2 linked regions of the Arabidopsis thaliana genome follow. The protein of the gene in region 2 interacts with the protein of the main gene of each other region in a pairwise test. Each region holds a gene or a part of one and is shown on either strand. Other genes may lie near its edges. The genes, in order: ML1 and RAPTOR1.

Region 1 (9,833 bases), on a different chromosome or scaffold from region 2:
CTTGATAAGAAACTTCAGATTATTTTTGGCTCTTGTATCGTATGACCTTACTCTTACAGCACCAAACATTATAACAGAGCTTTGAATAAATATTTGTTTAAGAAACTTCAGAATTAGTTATAGGTTTCTTCATGTCGTATCATATAATAATACCAAACTCTGTCCAGTAGATATATCATAGGAAACCATATACTATGTCCTTATGCAAAATATACTCAATGAAACCCACGGAATGATATTAGTCAGTGCCCTTCGTAAAATTCATCTGCTTCAGATAGAACTCGCCACAGAACAAAAATTAGGAAAAATAATATTTTTATATATCCCAAAATAGAAGCATTCAAAAAAGGGTCCAAAAGAGTACAACGTAGAATGGCCACAAATAGCCAGCAAAGAAGATGAGTGTAATCCAAGGCTGTTATACATTGATAGCAAGAACCAAAAATCCTTGAATATAACCCCAAAACCCAAAAAAAAAGAGGAACAAAAAAAAAACCTGCAATATTTTTCAGGGGATTTTGATAATACAACAAAACTGGTGAAGCAACAACAACCTGGGTAAAAGGTTTGTGGTCAACAAAGTTTTTCATCTCTCCAAAAAATTTCTTCACTGCAAAATGAGTTTTGTCAGGGTAAATCTAACACCCCCCGATTTACAGAACTCTAGGGTGTGTGGATGATATCATATAATAATAACTTTATATATATTTAACCTTCTTGTTATCTTCGTGTCTCTTTTTATGTGTTCTTTGTTTTACCTCTGCTTGTTTTGCTCATTGGTTAGTTCTCCTTCAAGAACGGATCAGTTCCATTAGGAGTTTCTTCTCGGTTTTCAGAAACGGAAGAGATGCTAAAGCTGTTGTAGTTGTCAATGCTACTGCTTCGTGGCTTGCCTGGTCTTGACCGTATGTTGCTTCCCATTGGAAATGGTTCCTGTGGTGATATAACAACAAAGGAAATCATATGAATCTTCTTTTACTCACTAATCTTATGATATAATGAAATCACACTTGAAGTGAAGGAAGTGCATATGGATAATGGGAACCAAACAAGACGGAATTGTATGAAGCTTTAATCTTTACCTGATCACCAGCATTTGGACCATCAGTGTGGAAGAGAATAGGTCGGCAACGTTTGTCTTCGTTCATTAAGCTTGAGTTCTGGAAATGGGCAATAAGAGCTGTTTTCCCTTGGATACGAGCATACGTAAGCGTTGCCACCTTCTCGCTATTGAACTTTTCCCACTTTTTGCCATTAAATGCCTGTGAATGTTTTTTTAAGAGCTTTTAGCCAATGCTCTCCCAAAAGGACAAAAGCCATAAGAAAAAGCAGCAATATGAGACTGTACCTTAAAAAATGGGACAATCTTTTCAGGTTCAATAAGATTGATGAAAGCATATCCCACATTGCATTTGTTCTGAAATGACAGGGTAAGATTAGATTAGATCGTTATTGCAAAATACCAAAACCTCTACGTGTCTGCTTAATAAGACTTTCTTATATAAAAAAGGTAGGACGCCTGCTTGCCTTGAAGTCAATTGGCAAATAAAGGAAATCATAAGTTCCTTTACAATGCTCGTCAATAGCAGATAGAAGCATCTTCGAAGTGTACCTAAACCATAGCAGAATTAAAAAAAAAAAAAAAAAAAAGAGAGTCAAAGATGAAAACAGAATACATCTTTAACTAAAGACACAAACTATAAATAGTTGCAGAAGATATAGACAAGAAAAATAAAAGAGAGACACTGAGTTCACGTACTTGTTAGGAATGTTTTTAATCATCAATGTTGTCCTCCTGTCCTCCCCACGTAATATACGGTCAACGTCAAGCTCATACAGTTTTTTGTCAGCATTGCTAGAGCTAGATTCGCTTCTTCGGTGAGAGAGATTCCTGTATCGTTCATTTGGCGAGTCAAATGACCCTGGCATCGAACCCATTGGACTCCTTCCAGGAAAGAGATGAGATAACTGTTGAGGAGATCGCAGGACAGCATTTTGGGAATTTACATCCATGCGATTCCCACCAACAGAGAAAGTCTTATGAGAACCAATGTCCATTGGATGTGATGGTGAAGAGCCAGGAATCCCCATGCTACCATGAGAACCTATGTGGAAGCCAGATGATTCTAGAGATTCAGCTACATAGGCTTGTCTTCTGTCCCAGAAAGGAGAATTTAATACCGGCGCAGATCCAATGTGGTGGTGCACAGGGGAAGATGCCATATTCACCATTATAGGAGGTGCTCTAGAGAATACAGTAACAGGTGGGCGCTGAGTAGGAATGCTGTTGATGTGAGATGGCGAGTTAGGCCACATCATGCCACTTGACGGATTTTGTTGCTGAGTGTTAGAGTTGCTCCATAAATTAATAGGGCGGCGAGAGCTTTGATGCATGGGAGATCCTATACCTACAGTCAAAAGATAACAACAGCTAAAAGTAAGGAAAGAGAATATTTCGTATGGCAGTTGAAAGAAAAACTTCATTACAATCTTCCATATCAAAATTTTTTTAGCAATGATAATATACACAATTAGGTTCAACCCCTTCTCATATTCAAACCCCAGTACAACACTGCCTAATCTGTTTAGATAACTGGCCATTAAGAACATAATGCTAATACTGTCTTTCCCAGGATGACAAAAATAAAAAAAAACAGTTGTAAACAAGTTGTCTATCCAGACAACAGTACCTACTGTGCATTGCTGTAGCATTTCACAGTCTACTAAAATTGTAAGGACCATTTCAATGTCGTAACTTAAAGATTGTGCTCTGATAATGTACTACAGCAGAGCTTATCAAGACAGTAGCACATTAGCGATAGAGAACTTACCGCCTCCACTAAAGCCTTCCACTCCACGAACATTATGTATCATAAAGCCTTCATTTGCTTTTGAGCCATCACTGACCATTTCAGAAAATGCAGAGGACGTATATGGACTACCATTTGCAAAGTTGTCGACGTACTCCGAAAAAGAATGAGGATGGAGATTTGGCATGCTTTGGATCCCCATATTTGAATTATCAAAATGGTGGCCATGCTCCTGAAGTCCTACAGGCTTACTTGCTGAGATGCCGTTTGCCGAAGGTGGGAATCCAATAGGAATGCTGAGACTACGATGTCGTTCAATGAAGGAATTCACAGGTGATCCAATAGAATTATGTATAACCCGCATAGATCCACCATCACTGGAGGTTGAAGAAATCATTCCTGGGAAATGTCTACCTGAAACAGAGATATTTAACTGCAATGATTTGTGTCCCCAGATGATTGATGATTGAAGAAAAAAGAACTATAAACCATAGATGTAAAGGCATACCTATGTGTCCCGATGATGTATTACTATAAGACGTTTTAGGTAGACACCCTTCAGTATCATTTGCAGCACACTGCGACGTGTATCTGAAAAAGATAATGAATCATACATTAATACAGTTGACGTCCATGTAAAGACTTGATAACAAATCACATGTTCAAATCAGTTTGATTAGCATTTGCATCAATTTCACAGCCCACAATGGAATATAAAGCAGGTGAAAATGCCCAATCACCACCTTGTACCCTCTGGATAGGTCGGCACAAGTTGAAGCTTCTTCCCAGCAACCTCAAGTCCATTTAGTCCACCAAGAGCAGCTGCTGCAGCTCGAACGTCAAAGAACTCTATGTATATCTGTGAGTTATCATGCATGGTCCTACGAATCTACAAACCACAGAAACCGAATAAGTATCAATCTCAGAACTCAAATACAGGGAGAACCCCAGTATACCAACCTCTTTGACCTCTCCATACGATTTGACCAGTCGATTCAGCTCTTGATTCGAAATAGAAGAATCGAGATTATTAACCAACAAGGCTCCTTTACTTGTATCTTTTTGTGAAGGATTTTCCTGATAGCAAGAAAAATTGTAAGCACAAGTCACAAATGCAATCCATATAGCAAACGACAAAATCTTCTTTCAGAACAGTGAATACCTTAGAGATAGAATAACGAATGTCAAGTTTTGTTCCTCTTAACAGCTTATTCTGGAGTGCTCTCGCCGCATTCTGAGCAGCCCTTATATCACAGTACGATACCATGATAAAGCCACGATTTTTGCAAGCTGTATGAAGAGCCTGGATGTCTCCAAATTGCTGAACAAGCAAATGTATCCTCAGTACGAAGTAAGTAATCCCAAAATTTCTACATACCTTACATTTCCTAAGTAAAGAATCCATGCGAACCAAAATTGCTGCTGAAAGAAGGTACCTCAAAAAGGACCTTCAGCTCATAGTCTTCAACATTGCTACTGATATTTCCGACCAAAAGTGTTCTGGATGGAATTTCCCCACGGTTAAGCTCGCCAACAGAATTATTGCCACCTCTCTCACCATTTCTATGACTCACAGAAGAAAAAATATCTCCATCTAGTTCCATGCCACCAACACTGCTGAAGAGGTCAAACTCATCCAACTCATCTCCTGTATTAGCACGAGATTTACGCCCAACCTCACCTGTCACTTCTGCAAAAAGATCATCTTCATCTGGGAGAAGATTTCCAATAGTTTGTGCCTCAATCTCTTCCAAAGATTCAGACGGTTCTTCTTCACGGTGGGTAACAACTGTGTTTGCAGACATAGTGGATAGCATATCACTTCCCTGTAGCCGCACTGCAAAAAACAGCAAGTTGGAGACACGCTCAAGTAGTTAAAGTACAGTAAGTCAGAGCACACAAGTAACAATGTTTTTTTACCATAGAGGATTGTAGATTTTAGGAAGCTGAATAAAAAATCTAACACAATAATTAAAAAAACCATAAAGGTGAACCAGAAGCTTACGCTTTCTACTAAATAAATCAGACATTGAGCTGGAAAATAAACTGCTTTCCCACTGACTACCATTTGTAGTGTTTCTTGCGTTAGGGCTACCAGAGGGGTGCGACCCAGAAAAACTAGATTGTGGCTTCAGCTGGTAACTTTCAGATGTCCAGGAACTCTTTGGCATACTTGAAAGTCTATCACGACCACCTTGGTTTTCAGGCATCATGTCTGTTTTCATAAACCCAAATTGCCTCTGCCGAACAAAAAAGCACAAGTATAGTTGAGAAAAACTAGTGGCAGATATAATGTCATACGTGAGAAATATGATACCAGCAATTCTAGAGCTACACAGTTTAAATCCTGAAACAAATGAAAACAAAGAGTTTACCTCTGAAGTAATATGAATATCTTCATGAAAGTGGGAAGGTGTTGAAACACCTCTCTGTTCCATTATATCAGACGGCATCTTACAAAATTTGACTAATAAAACCAGAATCAAAATCTTTTAAAACTTTAAACTTATTTCAACGAACCATATCACTTCCCCTGAAAAAACCTGAAAAAAAAAAAAAAAAGTGGTCAAGTCAAAACCAGTGTCTACATAAACAAAATGCATTTCTCAATTGCGAGGAAGATCTTGCAAAAACGACACATAAAAGTGCTCAATTACTCACGTACAAGCCAAAAAAATCAAGCAAAAGAACTACAAAAGTAGAGAAACAGAAGATTTCTACTAGAATTACGCGAAGTCCAAGGATAAAACAAAGTTAGCAACTTCAACCACTAGAGAGGCAAAACATATCAAATCGCTGCATTTTAAGCTCATAGAAATATCTAGAAGAGACGATTAGGTACATCCAGAAGCAATAAGAGTAGAATTCGCCTAATACCGGATCCTTGTGCAGCTCATTATAATCAAACAGCGAACCAACTCTTACCTAATTCACAAATTCGGCACGGAATTAAACCATTTCCAAATTATTAAACCATAAAAATAAAAACCCTAATCACCACCAGCTACCAAAAAAATAAGAAAACTTACCTAATCACAAACAAACACAATTATGCTTCCTCTTAAACAAATTCAAACCAGATTTTCAACAAACAGTGGATCTCGTTAACTCTTATTTTTTACCTTCTTCTTCTTCAGGTATCACGATCCTTGAAGAAAAAAAAAAACAGCGATGTAGACAGAGATGAAAGAGAAGAGAGAAGAGAATAATTCCTTCTTCTCTCTTTTATCTTCCTCCTTTCCTTTTTGTTTCCTTCTATCCAATCGCATCCATCACAGAATATTTAATTCCGTAAAAGAAATTTTTTATATTATATATATAAAAAAAGTGAATCGGCGTTTTCAATTTTTTTTCTTTCTCTTTTCGAATTTCCCCTCCTCTCACGACGCGTTGTTTCCAACGAATAATTCGTGCGACCGGCGATGATTTTTGAGCTTTTCCGGCGATATTCTTCCCGTCGACGCGCGATTCCGGCACTCCCTCCGACAGAGAGAGAAACGGAGAGGAGAGAGAGATTTTTATTTTTTTGGGGGGTTTTTTTGGTTTTTGCGGTTAGTTGGTTTAGAGAACAAAAAAAATGAGAGGGAGAGGAAAAAACAAAAGAGGGAAGGAAGGAGAGAAGGACTCTGCTACGTTGTATGTACCATGGATTTAGTGGTATGGTATGAGCTTGAATCTGGACCATTCGATTATGATTATAACTCAATAGTTTATTGATTTTAGTTGAAGAATAAATAATTACGGACTCACACGAGAGTCTCGACGGCAAGTCGTCGAGTCCCGGCTAATAACCAAAGTAGCCGGCTATGAAAACAATGGACCATTTGGTTTTCTTTTTAAACATGTGATTCATTTGCTTTATCTACAAAACTTTACTTGCACAAATTAAAGTTAGAATTTCAAATCTTAGTATTATGGAAGAAAATAGTATTAAAAGGTTGTTTTAATGTTATTGATATAGTTGACATTTTTAGTTGACACATTTTTGCTTATGTTTTAGTCTCGTACATGATTTTAAATGCAAAAAGAACATTAATCCTATATTAGTTAGAGTTTAAGAAAGATGTTTGGTACTAGTTGTTTTAAGGTTTCTTTACTCTTTGCAAAAATAAAATTTGAAAATGTGATTTTATTTTTTAAACCCAAAAAGAAATCTTATTATAACAATTATATATGGTCACATTTGTTTGAGATATAAATAGATCTTATGTTTGTTCCAAAAAAAAAAAAGATACTTATGTTGCTAAATAAGTTACCGAGAAATAAATCTTCATCTGGTCATTGAATAATCTTTGTAGATAATGTTTGGTTGGTTGATTCAAGATTATATCTTATAAACGCTATTTTCATTCATTAGTTTTTTTTTATTATTGACGAGATTGAATCATTGCTTTTACTTCTATATTCACTGTCTTTATCATTCTTGTTTTGTTGTTTTCCCTACCTCTCAAGTCAAGTCTCACTTTTATATTCTTACAAGTTTGTAGTACAATCTAATGAATGGCGCCATAACAAAAATAAACTACTAAATACTAATAATAATCAGCTAGCATCTATTGAAGACTTCAAGTGAAGTTGATTTGTTTGATGGTTAAATCTCTCCATATTATCAGATTTAGCATGACTAGGTTCGAACTACTTAATGGAAATATCAAAAGATGATCTAAAATAAAACGTTTTTAAAAGATGGTATAAATATCGGAGACTGGTATTGGACTATAAAAAAAATAGTTATCCAACATTAATGCATGTATTCATCTTTTTGTCTCAAGTTAACATGCAAAAATAGGAAGAAAAAAAAAAAAAGGAATAGAATGGAAATGCATTCACGTAGCTAGCCAATCGGCCGTGAAATGTGGCTGAAGGTGAGTGTCGTGTACGATATCTCGTCTGTGAATGTATTTTACAAAAACTGCAGCTTCTTATCTTTGAATTAGTTTATGTGATCCATATTAAATGTTACTTACTATTTATGTATTCTACTCTATAGAGTATATAAATGTTTACTTGTTTAGCTTAAAGATTCATCAAGTGTTTTGTGTTGGGATCTCCGTCGGACAATGCAATCTTTTATTCCATTGAATTTAAGTACACTGCCTTTAGTATTGGATGAAACAAAAACCATTTTTGAAAATCTGAGATATATAGAAACCGGTTGGTCAGACCTTACGTCATTTTATACTTCCACTTCGTAATGATTCTGTTTGGCCTTGTTTGGCTTCATTACAAGTTTCTTTTACACATTTTATAGTAGTATCATTTAAATAATGATCACATTCAATCAAAAAATACTTCTGCCATTATTTAACTGGAGTAACGTTTTGGTTTCCCCCTCGTAAGCAACGTGTCCAATTCCTTCAATGAAGGTTTTCATCATACCAGTTCAAGTCGGTTTAATCCGATTAAAATGCTCGGTAACCCACCAATTTAGAATGTTCGGTTAAGCTCATAGGGCTAAGTATGGCAAAATTTAACGAGAATTCTCAAACAAGATCGAAACTGAATTCAAATATTTATATTGTAAAACGAAAATTTACTTAAAAACAATTAGATCAATCCAACTAGTCACAACATTCATATTTCTAGCTTAAATTTCTTTTGGCAAATATCAAGAAGTGGTGATCTAGTAGTAGATCATATATAGTCCTTTTTGAAAAGGGTTGAAACATTGTATTTATAATTTGATATTTGTTTTAAAAGGATTACTTTACTGTAACTTTAATTTCCGTTTAAAAGATTGTGTGGACTCCATTCAAAAGATTTCAAATAACAAAAAATTGCTTCTTTTAGTTCGATTATGCTTGCTTACTAAATAATACAACTAGACAATTAGTTAGAACGTAAATCCAAACTTATTAGGGGCTTAAGGCCAATCCAAAAACGAAAAATAATGGAAATTAACAAAATAAAATAAAAGTGGTCCAATAATGTTTCTTAAAATAGTTAGAGTTAGAAAATCTCAAGAACAGGATTAGAGAAAATTTCTATTCTAGTATTAGTCGGCCAAGCCAAGCTGAGCTGACAAAAAATAAGCCGAGCGTGAGAGTGGCGTGAGAGAGAGGGTCACTGTCCGCTATTTTAAATGCTGGGCGCTGCGTGAAGGATTAGAAAAGCATTTATTCTTAAAAGATGCTCTTCTCAACGTAATCCACGTGTCAACTTACCATTAGTTTACACATCAAAAGCTGACCAGCAAATCCCAGGATGGGCTGTGATCACCTACTTACTCCTCCATCTAAAATCTCTGTGCACCTTTTCTCCCACGAGCCGTTGGATTCATCCAAATTACGTGTGCAACACTCACTTTTAAGACGATGTTAGCCGTATTTAACCGAACCTAACCGGCGCTGAACCGTCTTCCAGTTTTGCTAATCAACAAGCGAGATTTGATTATATAATTAAAAAGCCTTTGTTATAGACTTAGTAGTGTCACGCTGGTCTCACATGCCTATTGCCTACATGCTTGGAAGTTTGAAAATCTTTAATCATTTATTTATATGATACTTAAGTTAACATCTAAAGATATTCAAAACTTGAGAATGAAATCATTGCTAAGAGAATAATTTATTTTCTGAAATACTATTCTTACTATGTTAAATATTTTAATTCTTTCAAGTACATTGTAATGCTACTAGATACTTTGCCTAGCAAAATAGTTTTATATTTTATCTGTTGTAAATTGTATCAATATACACTAACTTTCATTAAGAATTACAGACATAAATAAACACACCAAATTTTAGTTTTTGAGAGTCAAACTATATATGAAATATCGCTGCAGTGGAAATTGTATAATATTTGATTTAACCGGCTTGAATGATTCAGAACTAATACCATGGAAATATAAATAGTATAAGAGAGACTTCACGTGCTAAATCTTGAAGAAGACGATTGGACAGAACAATAAGACAGAAGCAATAACCAATGGAATTATGGAACATCATATAATAAACTTTTTTAATAATCATTTGGATAATTAAACAAATAGTATTATAATCATTTTTGAATTATTTGGTTGTTAAT
Region 2 (6,944 bases):
GGAAGCCAAAGAATGTTCCTAAGCCATATCCACACAAAACCCAGAGTGAGAAAATGGCAAATGAATATGAATCTCTCTCTCCCTCTCTCTCTCAGCAAAAGGGAAAATAAGTACAGAAATCTAGGCACCTGAAGAACAATAGGTAACTGCTCCGGTGGCTTCTTATGCTCAGATCCATGATCAAGCCACACCTCAAAAGCTGTCAGTTGCTCAGTAAAAAACGGACTTGGCTAGAAAAAGGATAGGAACACGTTTTATAAGCAAAACAAGCGCCGTCGTATACAATTGCAGGAAACTATACAAAACAAAACAAACCTGGAACTCTGTGCTTGGGTCCAGAACAAGTTGGGGAAGCTGAGAAAGACAGATTTCAGCAGCCATGTCCCATGCATCCCTGAAAAGCATGCAACGGATAGCTGAGTCAAAATCTAGACACATAACATTTTACATAACAGAAGAATATGGTTCTTGTTGAATACCACATATGATGTTGATGCGTAGGAGGCAGCATAGGGTGAGATATTGGATTACAGTTTGCGGACCGCATTATTCTCTCAGCAAGTAAGAAATTCCGGAAAAGGCTAGCGACCAACAAGTCCTGTCTGAATAATCTCTGGAAAAGTTCTGCAGGGTAAAACTATCATTCATGAGGACACAGAAAAGAAGTCAACTTGAAGAAGATTTACCCTTGATAAATTATGCAGAAAGTTTGGAGAAGTACCATGAGGAAGCACATTCCAAGCAATTGTATCCGTCACTGCTGTGAAAATCCAGTTCAACTCCCCTAACAATGTCTTACGATCGTTTTGCCGGCCTGGAATCCTGTCGATAAGTGATTCATCGATAATTTCTTTCAGAAGCGAACGCCTGCAGAACCTGCAATGGAAATCCTCTTGTGAAAAAGCTGCAAGCTAAACTGAACTACATAAAATGGTGATCTGTTTACTGGAAAAAGGTTAAAAAGAAGCCCAGAATTGAAACCGCACAGACTCAGTAGCAATTAGTTATAGAATAAATATCACAGAAGGAGAAGGCTATCAATCAGGATGATATCGTGAATCTTTTGGTATCATCAAAAATACTTAGCCAGGACAGAAAGAATTATTGCAAACCATACATCAGCAAACTTCCATATGCAAAGTGACTTGGCAGCTAAAGGTATTATCAGTCCTGGTTATCTCACAACTCTTATGATATGCTGTTTTACCACCCCACAAAACTAAAACATACGCACAAGGTCTTCTAAACAAAACTCTATGATCCATCTTTGGTCCCATCCAAAATGCTGCCGAAAAGTTTTGATCTTACCTCATGATGAAGCGAGAACATACTAGCTAAGATTTTATAAACTTAGCTAGACGGAACTTAAACTACATTTTGTAGGAAGAAAACATGACATCTGAGTACGCAAAAAAAGTCAGAGATGGAATGATGATTTACCATTTCAACGCCATTTTAATGGGCGTTGTCAGGCAAGACGTAAAAACATCAGCTGGAAACTCAACGCTCTGAGGAAGTGTCTCATGTACATCACAAGCAGCAAGTAGAATGCAGTCCCTTGAGGATCCAGAGGAACCAGAAGAACCCCAATCATGAAGCTGGCGTAAAGAGTATATGAATTTTATCAACTTATGGAACGAAAATTACAGACTCGAGTCCTAAACTCGACAGGAGATGTGTTCTATAAGTGAAGTGGTTGTTTCCTTTACCTCAGCAAAGGCATTCAGAATCATCCTAGCAGCAGAGCAGTCGAAAACATAGATGGAGGGTGTCTTCAACCAGGAATCAAGTTCACTGATTGGCAAGGGAATGTACTGTGTATAACTCTGCTCAAACAGAGAATCAATCAGCTCGTGGTAACAGACGAGAAGGAACAAGAACATGGTAGAGAAAAGAAAACGCTAGTAAAAAACAGACCTTGTTAAATACCCAAATTTCACCATTAGCTGTAGGTTTTGGCACACCATGCCCATTATAATGGAATAGAACTCTCTCGGTCTTTGCATATTTCCGACAAGTCAAGCACAGCTTCCTCACCTCATCTACTGTCGGATCAAGCTGAACCTTATAGCGGGCCTGAGAAATCATAAAATAAATAAGAAAAGCGTAACTTAACAAAACAATAATGATAGGGTGCAGGGAAAAAAATTGTCACCCTGGGTTGCCATCTCTCATACTGAGTGCTCAAATTTTTTCCAATTGTCTCGAGAGCTTTAGGCGGTGCCATAGAAAATGGATCTGCCATCAGAAAGAAAAAAAATAGAGATAAAATTGACTGTGGCGACAAAAAAAAGGGATAAACACAGAAAAGAAAGAGTGTAATAGGATTGAGTAGGCCAAAGTTTCAACCTATCCATGCCTCGATTCTAGCACAAGGAGATATCTTTATAACATCCGGCGGATCAACAGTAATGTTTAAACACAGAACTAAAGCTACACATCCTGTTTTCATCTGCAAAGAAGAAGAAGAAAAGTTAACAAAGAATATGAGACTTGCAAGAACTCCCCTAGCTATCAGATCCAATGAACACCTGATTTAGCTTCCGACGAGAAATAGAATTATTTCTGAAGAGACATTGAGATTGAAACGAAACGGAAACATGTATCTTTAAGGTTCAGCTCCACAATAAAAACGTTAACACAAGTACACAACCCTCCTCGGTTAACATTACCTAACATAGTAGCGAACAATAGCAGATTTTATAATGAATTCTAGAAAATGTAGTTGTTCTACCCGCCTCTTACATCGTCAGTTGCACTAAACAAGCTAGTCTAACATACTTGCAGCTACCAACAATGTTCGATTGAAAACTTACTCGTTCTTTAAGCCGCCATTTGGGGACCAATACGATCTCAGAAGTCCCCAAGGGAGCAGAAGCCTCGGATGCGTCGTGTCTAAGCTCGCAGAGCACAATAGTCTGAGGCAAGTAAGCCATGCTGGTGGCGGTGGCGGCTCCCTCCGTTGTACCATTCCCGTAGCTACTACTGCTCTTAGCCTCAGAATCCTTCCTCCGGGAATCACCGTCATCGTGACTAGAGACACAGTCTTCGTCGTAACGGTGATTGGAGACCAAAGAAACAGAAGATTGCGAGAACCGAGACACCATTAAGTCTCCTAATGCCATCCAAATCGGAGAACACACCCCCGAATTAACACACCCCCAGAAATCACGCAAATCAAATCCTCAGCCCTAGCTTTTTTGTTTGGATTGTGCGAGATACAGAAAATAAAATAGAAAGGAAGACGGAGAAATCCAGATCAATCAACAAAGCCGCTGCACCAGCGGCGCAGGAGCAGAGAATCCAGCTCGAAAAACCCTCGACAGAGAAGCGGAAGCGGAAACCCTAAGAATCAGGAGAAGCGGAGGATGAAGAACGATGATGATTGGCTACGACGGCGATTGATGTGGAAGCGGCGGCGAATTAACAGTGGTGGTGGTGGTGGCGGCAGAAGAGAAAAAAAAAAGGCAGAGGAGAAAGTGAGGATGCGAAAATTGGGATTTTGTCAAAGAGAGAGACAAAGGGAAAGTCTTCAATGCATTTGCGTTTTCTTTCCACTTCTCTTTCATTCTTTTTCTCCTTTCCGTTTTTAGTTTTACCCTCTTCAGATCAAAAATCCACTCTAATTAATTACTAACTTTAATGCAATGTTATTAAATACTAATATTATAAGATTGAGAGGTATACTAAATATCTATAATTTTAAAATTAATTTATGTTTAAAATGTGGAAATTGAAATTTTGTATGCATCATTGAGAAACAAATTCAAAGAACACCATCAATGGATCGACTAATTAACTGAGAAGTTAATCGCAAATTCAATCTGATTCTTTGATTAAAATGCAACTTAAAACTCACTTTTATTCTAATCACGGTCTAAATCTAAATTTAAAAAATCAGTCTAGTTTAATTACGAAAACAAAAATTCAAGCTACTAAACTAGTAACAGAGAAATGATATTAAATTTAAAAACGATATTAGATTTTTTAAAACTATATTAATTTTTTTTTAAACGAGACAATTGTATTTTCGTAACCATAAATTACTTAGCTGACACTTTGTTACGTGAGTTACCATAAATTCTTCGAATCACCTCTAGGATTCCGTACAACGGGGTACATGAAGGGATCATCATTGCACACGCTTCATAAGTATATTTATGTTTTAATCAGTTTTGTGTTATAACGTTTAAATTAGTGTAATCTAAACACCAACGGTTTTTCTACTCTTACATAGCAATGTCTGGTCTTCTAAACCGAATTCATCTAGGGTTTATTGTAGTTGGTAAAAAAATGAAAACCGAAAAACTAAAAATTTGGTGTAGGGAAAAAATATTGGGTTCAAATTCCATGTTAATCAAAACTTCAGGTTCCGTTTTGCAATTATTCCATTATATTATCAATTTTGGACACAAACATCAAGCTGACACTTTGTTTGTCTGAATAACATTATCAAAGGCCATATATATCTAAAAGTCAGCAGAAAAATATCACAACTCCCTCTCTCTCACTTGGGAATCTCGCATCGAGAAAACAAGAAGATTCGATGATAAGAAAGACACTATGCATACTTGAAGAACTTATATTCGTGCTGACGAGTCTCGTTTCCGCGATCAGGACAGCTCTCCGGACATCGTTTTCCTACTCCGCCGCGGCGCCGCCATTTCTACCACTTCCTCGTCTTTGATGACCAACTGTTTTGCCCCACAGGTGTATCATTCAAGTTTTACTCTAAACTCGAAACTTCGGATCAATATATGTATTTGTGGAATATCATTAGCAGCGAGTTTTTTATTTATTTGTAGATTCTATCAAGTGTATACAGTACTGTACATTTAGTTACATATACTTGCATCTGTGATATATTTCGGTAAACACCAATTGTAATTCTACTTTATGATGTATTGTGTTATTTATATACACATACAAGGGTGAGTGATCATTAGAGAACGGATAAAGATAGTAAATCACATCTTGGACATGGCGTGATCCATCACATCCACGAGGAAATCTACAAAATACAAGATTTGAAACAACATAAATCATGAATAAAAAAATGAAACAAAAAGAAACCAATTTGAAGATATATATGTTAAACTAAGGAGCTAACCAGCGTCGGAGAGGGTGAAGCAGAGAGGAGGAGTGATTCTGAAGACATTCCCATAGAATCCACCTTTCCCCACCAACACTCCCATTTCTTGATACCAAAAGATTTGTATTAAACACTATCTTAAATGCATAAGTATCAACTTTATATGATGAGAGTGATCAATTTCACTTGGTTTAGGATTGAACACAACTAACCTTTCATTTGATCCATTAAATGAAGGGTCTCTGCTTTTGCAGGAGTTTTTAAGTCGCGGTCTTTGACAAACTCAACTCCTAGCATCAATCCTCTCCCTCTCACGTCTCCAATGACTAAACAAATTAGAGAAAGGATAAGATATTCAATAAAGAAAAATTTTAAAATTGATTTTAATTTGGACAAGAAGTAACTCACGTTCGTATTTGTTTTTGAGTAGCGTAAGTCTACGTTTAAGATGTGAGCCAACGAGGTTAGCATTCTCTTGGAGCTTCTCTTCGTGAAGGACTCTAAGTACTGCGTGTCCTGCGGCCGTGCACATTGGATTTCCGCCGAAAGTATTAAAGTAACTCCGACGGCTTAAAACGCCGGCAATCTCCGGTGTCGTCACAACCGCTCCAAGTGGTATACCGTTACCGATCCCCTGCAAAATCCAAATTAGAATTGATGATGATAAATTGATAACGATGCATGAATCATGATAATGATGAACCTTGGCCATGGTGACGATGTCAGGGATAACACCATGGGATTGAAACCCCCAGAAATGGGTTCCGGTACGAGCAAAACCGGATTGGACTTCATCGGCGATGCAAACTCCTCCGGCTTTCCTCACGATGTCGTAAGCCGCCGGTAAGTATCCGGGAGCAAGCTCTACGATTCCTCCAACACCCTGTTACAGGATATAGACTACATTACATGCATATTCATTATCATAATCATAAATACCTTTTTGATATAAGAAATAAGTACAAATTAATCTCGCCTGGATTGATTCGCCAATGAAACCGGCGACTTGACCGGACGTTCCGAATTGGATAAGATCGTGTACATCACTCGCGTACTTTTCACCGTCGGATCCAAATATTCCTCTGTAAGGATCTGGATTTATGGCGTGATGAACTCCACTCTGTTACAGAGATGATGCCTTGTCAAATTTAAATTTGGGTTGGTTACTTCTTCTCTTCTTCATATAAACTCATTTAGTCCAAGCTAATCGATTCAAACGTCATATTGAACTTTGATTCCATTCTAATTTTTGTTTGGTCAACACAGCTTAACTGTCTTACTCATCTACTATGATCTTAAGAAAAAATCAATTATGCTATATCAGATGGTGTAGATTGAAATGGAAAAGAACCTGAACGACGTTGAATTTCCAGTTGGACTGAGCAGTGGCACCCATAGTAGCAGCTGCGTTTCCATGATAAGAGTTCCTAAGCGAAACGATGTCGTTACATCCTGTATACAGTCTAGCCATCATCATCGCAAGTTCATTCGCCTCCGTACCCGAATTCGTGAAAAACACCACCTACGTACATGATAACACATGTACATTTGACTTGCCGGTCAAGTCATCGAATAACCTTAATACAAAAAAAACTATATTGCACAACTCAAAAAGAAGATATATCATTATTTACCTTGAGATCTCCCGGAAGAGTGGAGACAAGGGCTTCAGCGAAATCGGAGATGGTGTGGTTAAGGTAAAGGATGGTGGAGTGGTTAATAAGTTTCAACTGTTTGACGACGGAGTTAACTACTTCCGGGTGGCAATGGCCGCACGAAACCGTCGCTATTCCTCCAAAGGCATCTAAATATCGACGTCCATTCTCGTCGAACACATACTGCATCTTTGCCT

The links.
Region 1: the proteins of RAPTOR1 (region 2) and ML1 interact in a two-hybrid assay, tested with the Arabidopsis thaliana proteins (one study listed by BioGRID).

Annotation. Positions count from the first base shown.
Region 1 is NC_003076.8:24,878,221-24,888,053, forward strand, and holds ML1 (MEI2-like protein 1), read right to left. Parts: upstream 6,633-9,833; 5' UTR 5,933-6,632; exon of another isoform or gene 5,354-5,932; 5' UTR 5,334-5,353; coding exon of another isoform or gene 5,331-5,333; 5' UTR 5,264-5,330; coding exon 5,186-5,263; intron 5,051-5,185; coding exon 4,816-5,050; intron 4,648-4,815; coding exon 4,247-4,647; intron 4,132-4,246; coding exon 3,973-4,131; intron 3,888-3,972; coding exon 3,771-3,887; intron 3,700-3,770; coding exon 3,554-3,699; intron 3,402-3,553; coding exon 3,319-3,401; intron 3,225-3,318; coding exon 2,832-3,224; intron 2,409-2,831; coding exon 1,760-2,408; intron 1,613-1,759; coding exon 1,528-1,612; intron 1,418-1,527; coding exon 1,349-1,417; intron 1,263-1,348; coding exon 1,083-1,262; intron 934-1,082; coding exon 781-933; 3' UTR 287-780; downstream 1-286. UniProt on the Arabidopsis thaliana protein: Probable RNA-binding transcriptional activator that plays a role in meiosis and vegetative growth. May be a downstream effector of TOR signaling pathway and recruited by RAPTOR1 for TOR substrate.
Region 2 is NC_003074.8:2,691,787-2,698,730, forward strand, and holds the start of RAPTOR1 (Regulatory-associated protein of TOR 1), read right to left. Parts: upstream 3,615-6,944; 5' UTR 3,126-3,614; coding exon 2,817-3,125; intron 2,453-2,816; coding exon 2,350-2,452; intron 2,239-2,349; coding exon 2,156-2,238; intron 2,077-2,155; coding exon 1,918-2,076; intron 1,827-1,917; coding exon 1,710-1,826; intron 1,599-1,709; coding exon 1,441-1,598; intron 877-1,440; coding exon 722-876; intron 625-721; coding exon 480-624; intron 395-479; coding exon 316-394; intron 231-315; coding exon 129-230; intron 1-128. Other genes in the region: PYD4 (PYRIMIDINE 4), read right to left, coding at 4,968-5,011, 5,111-5,197, 5,305-5,418, 5,501-5,726, 5,796-5,975, 6,069-6,212, 6,444-6,614, 6,727-6,944. UniProt on the Arabidopsis thaliana protein: Probable component of the plant TOR kinase pathway that recruits substrates for TOR. Modulates plant cell growth and regulates the activity of ATPK1 kinase in response to osmotic stress.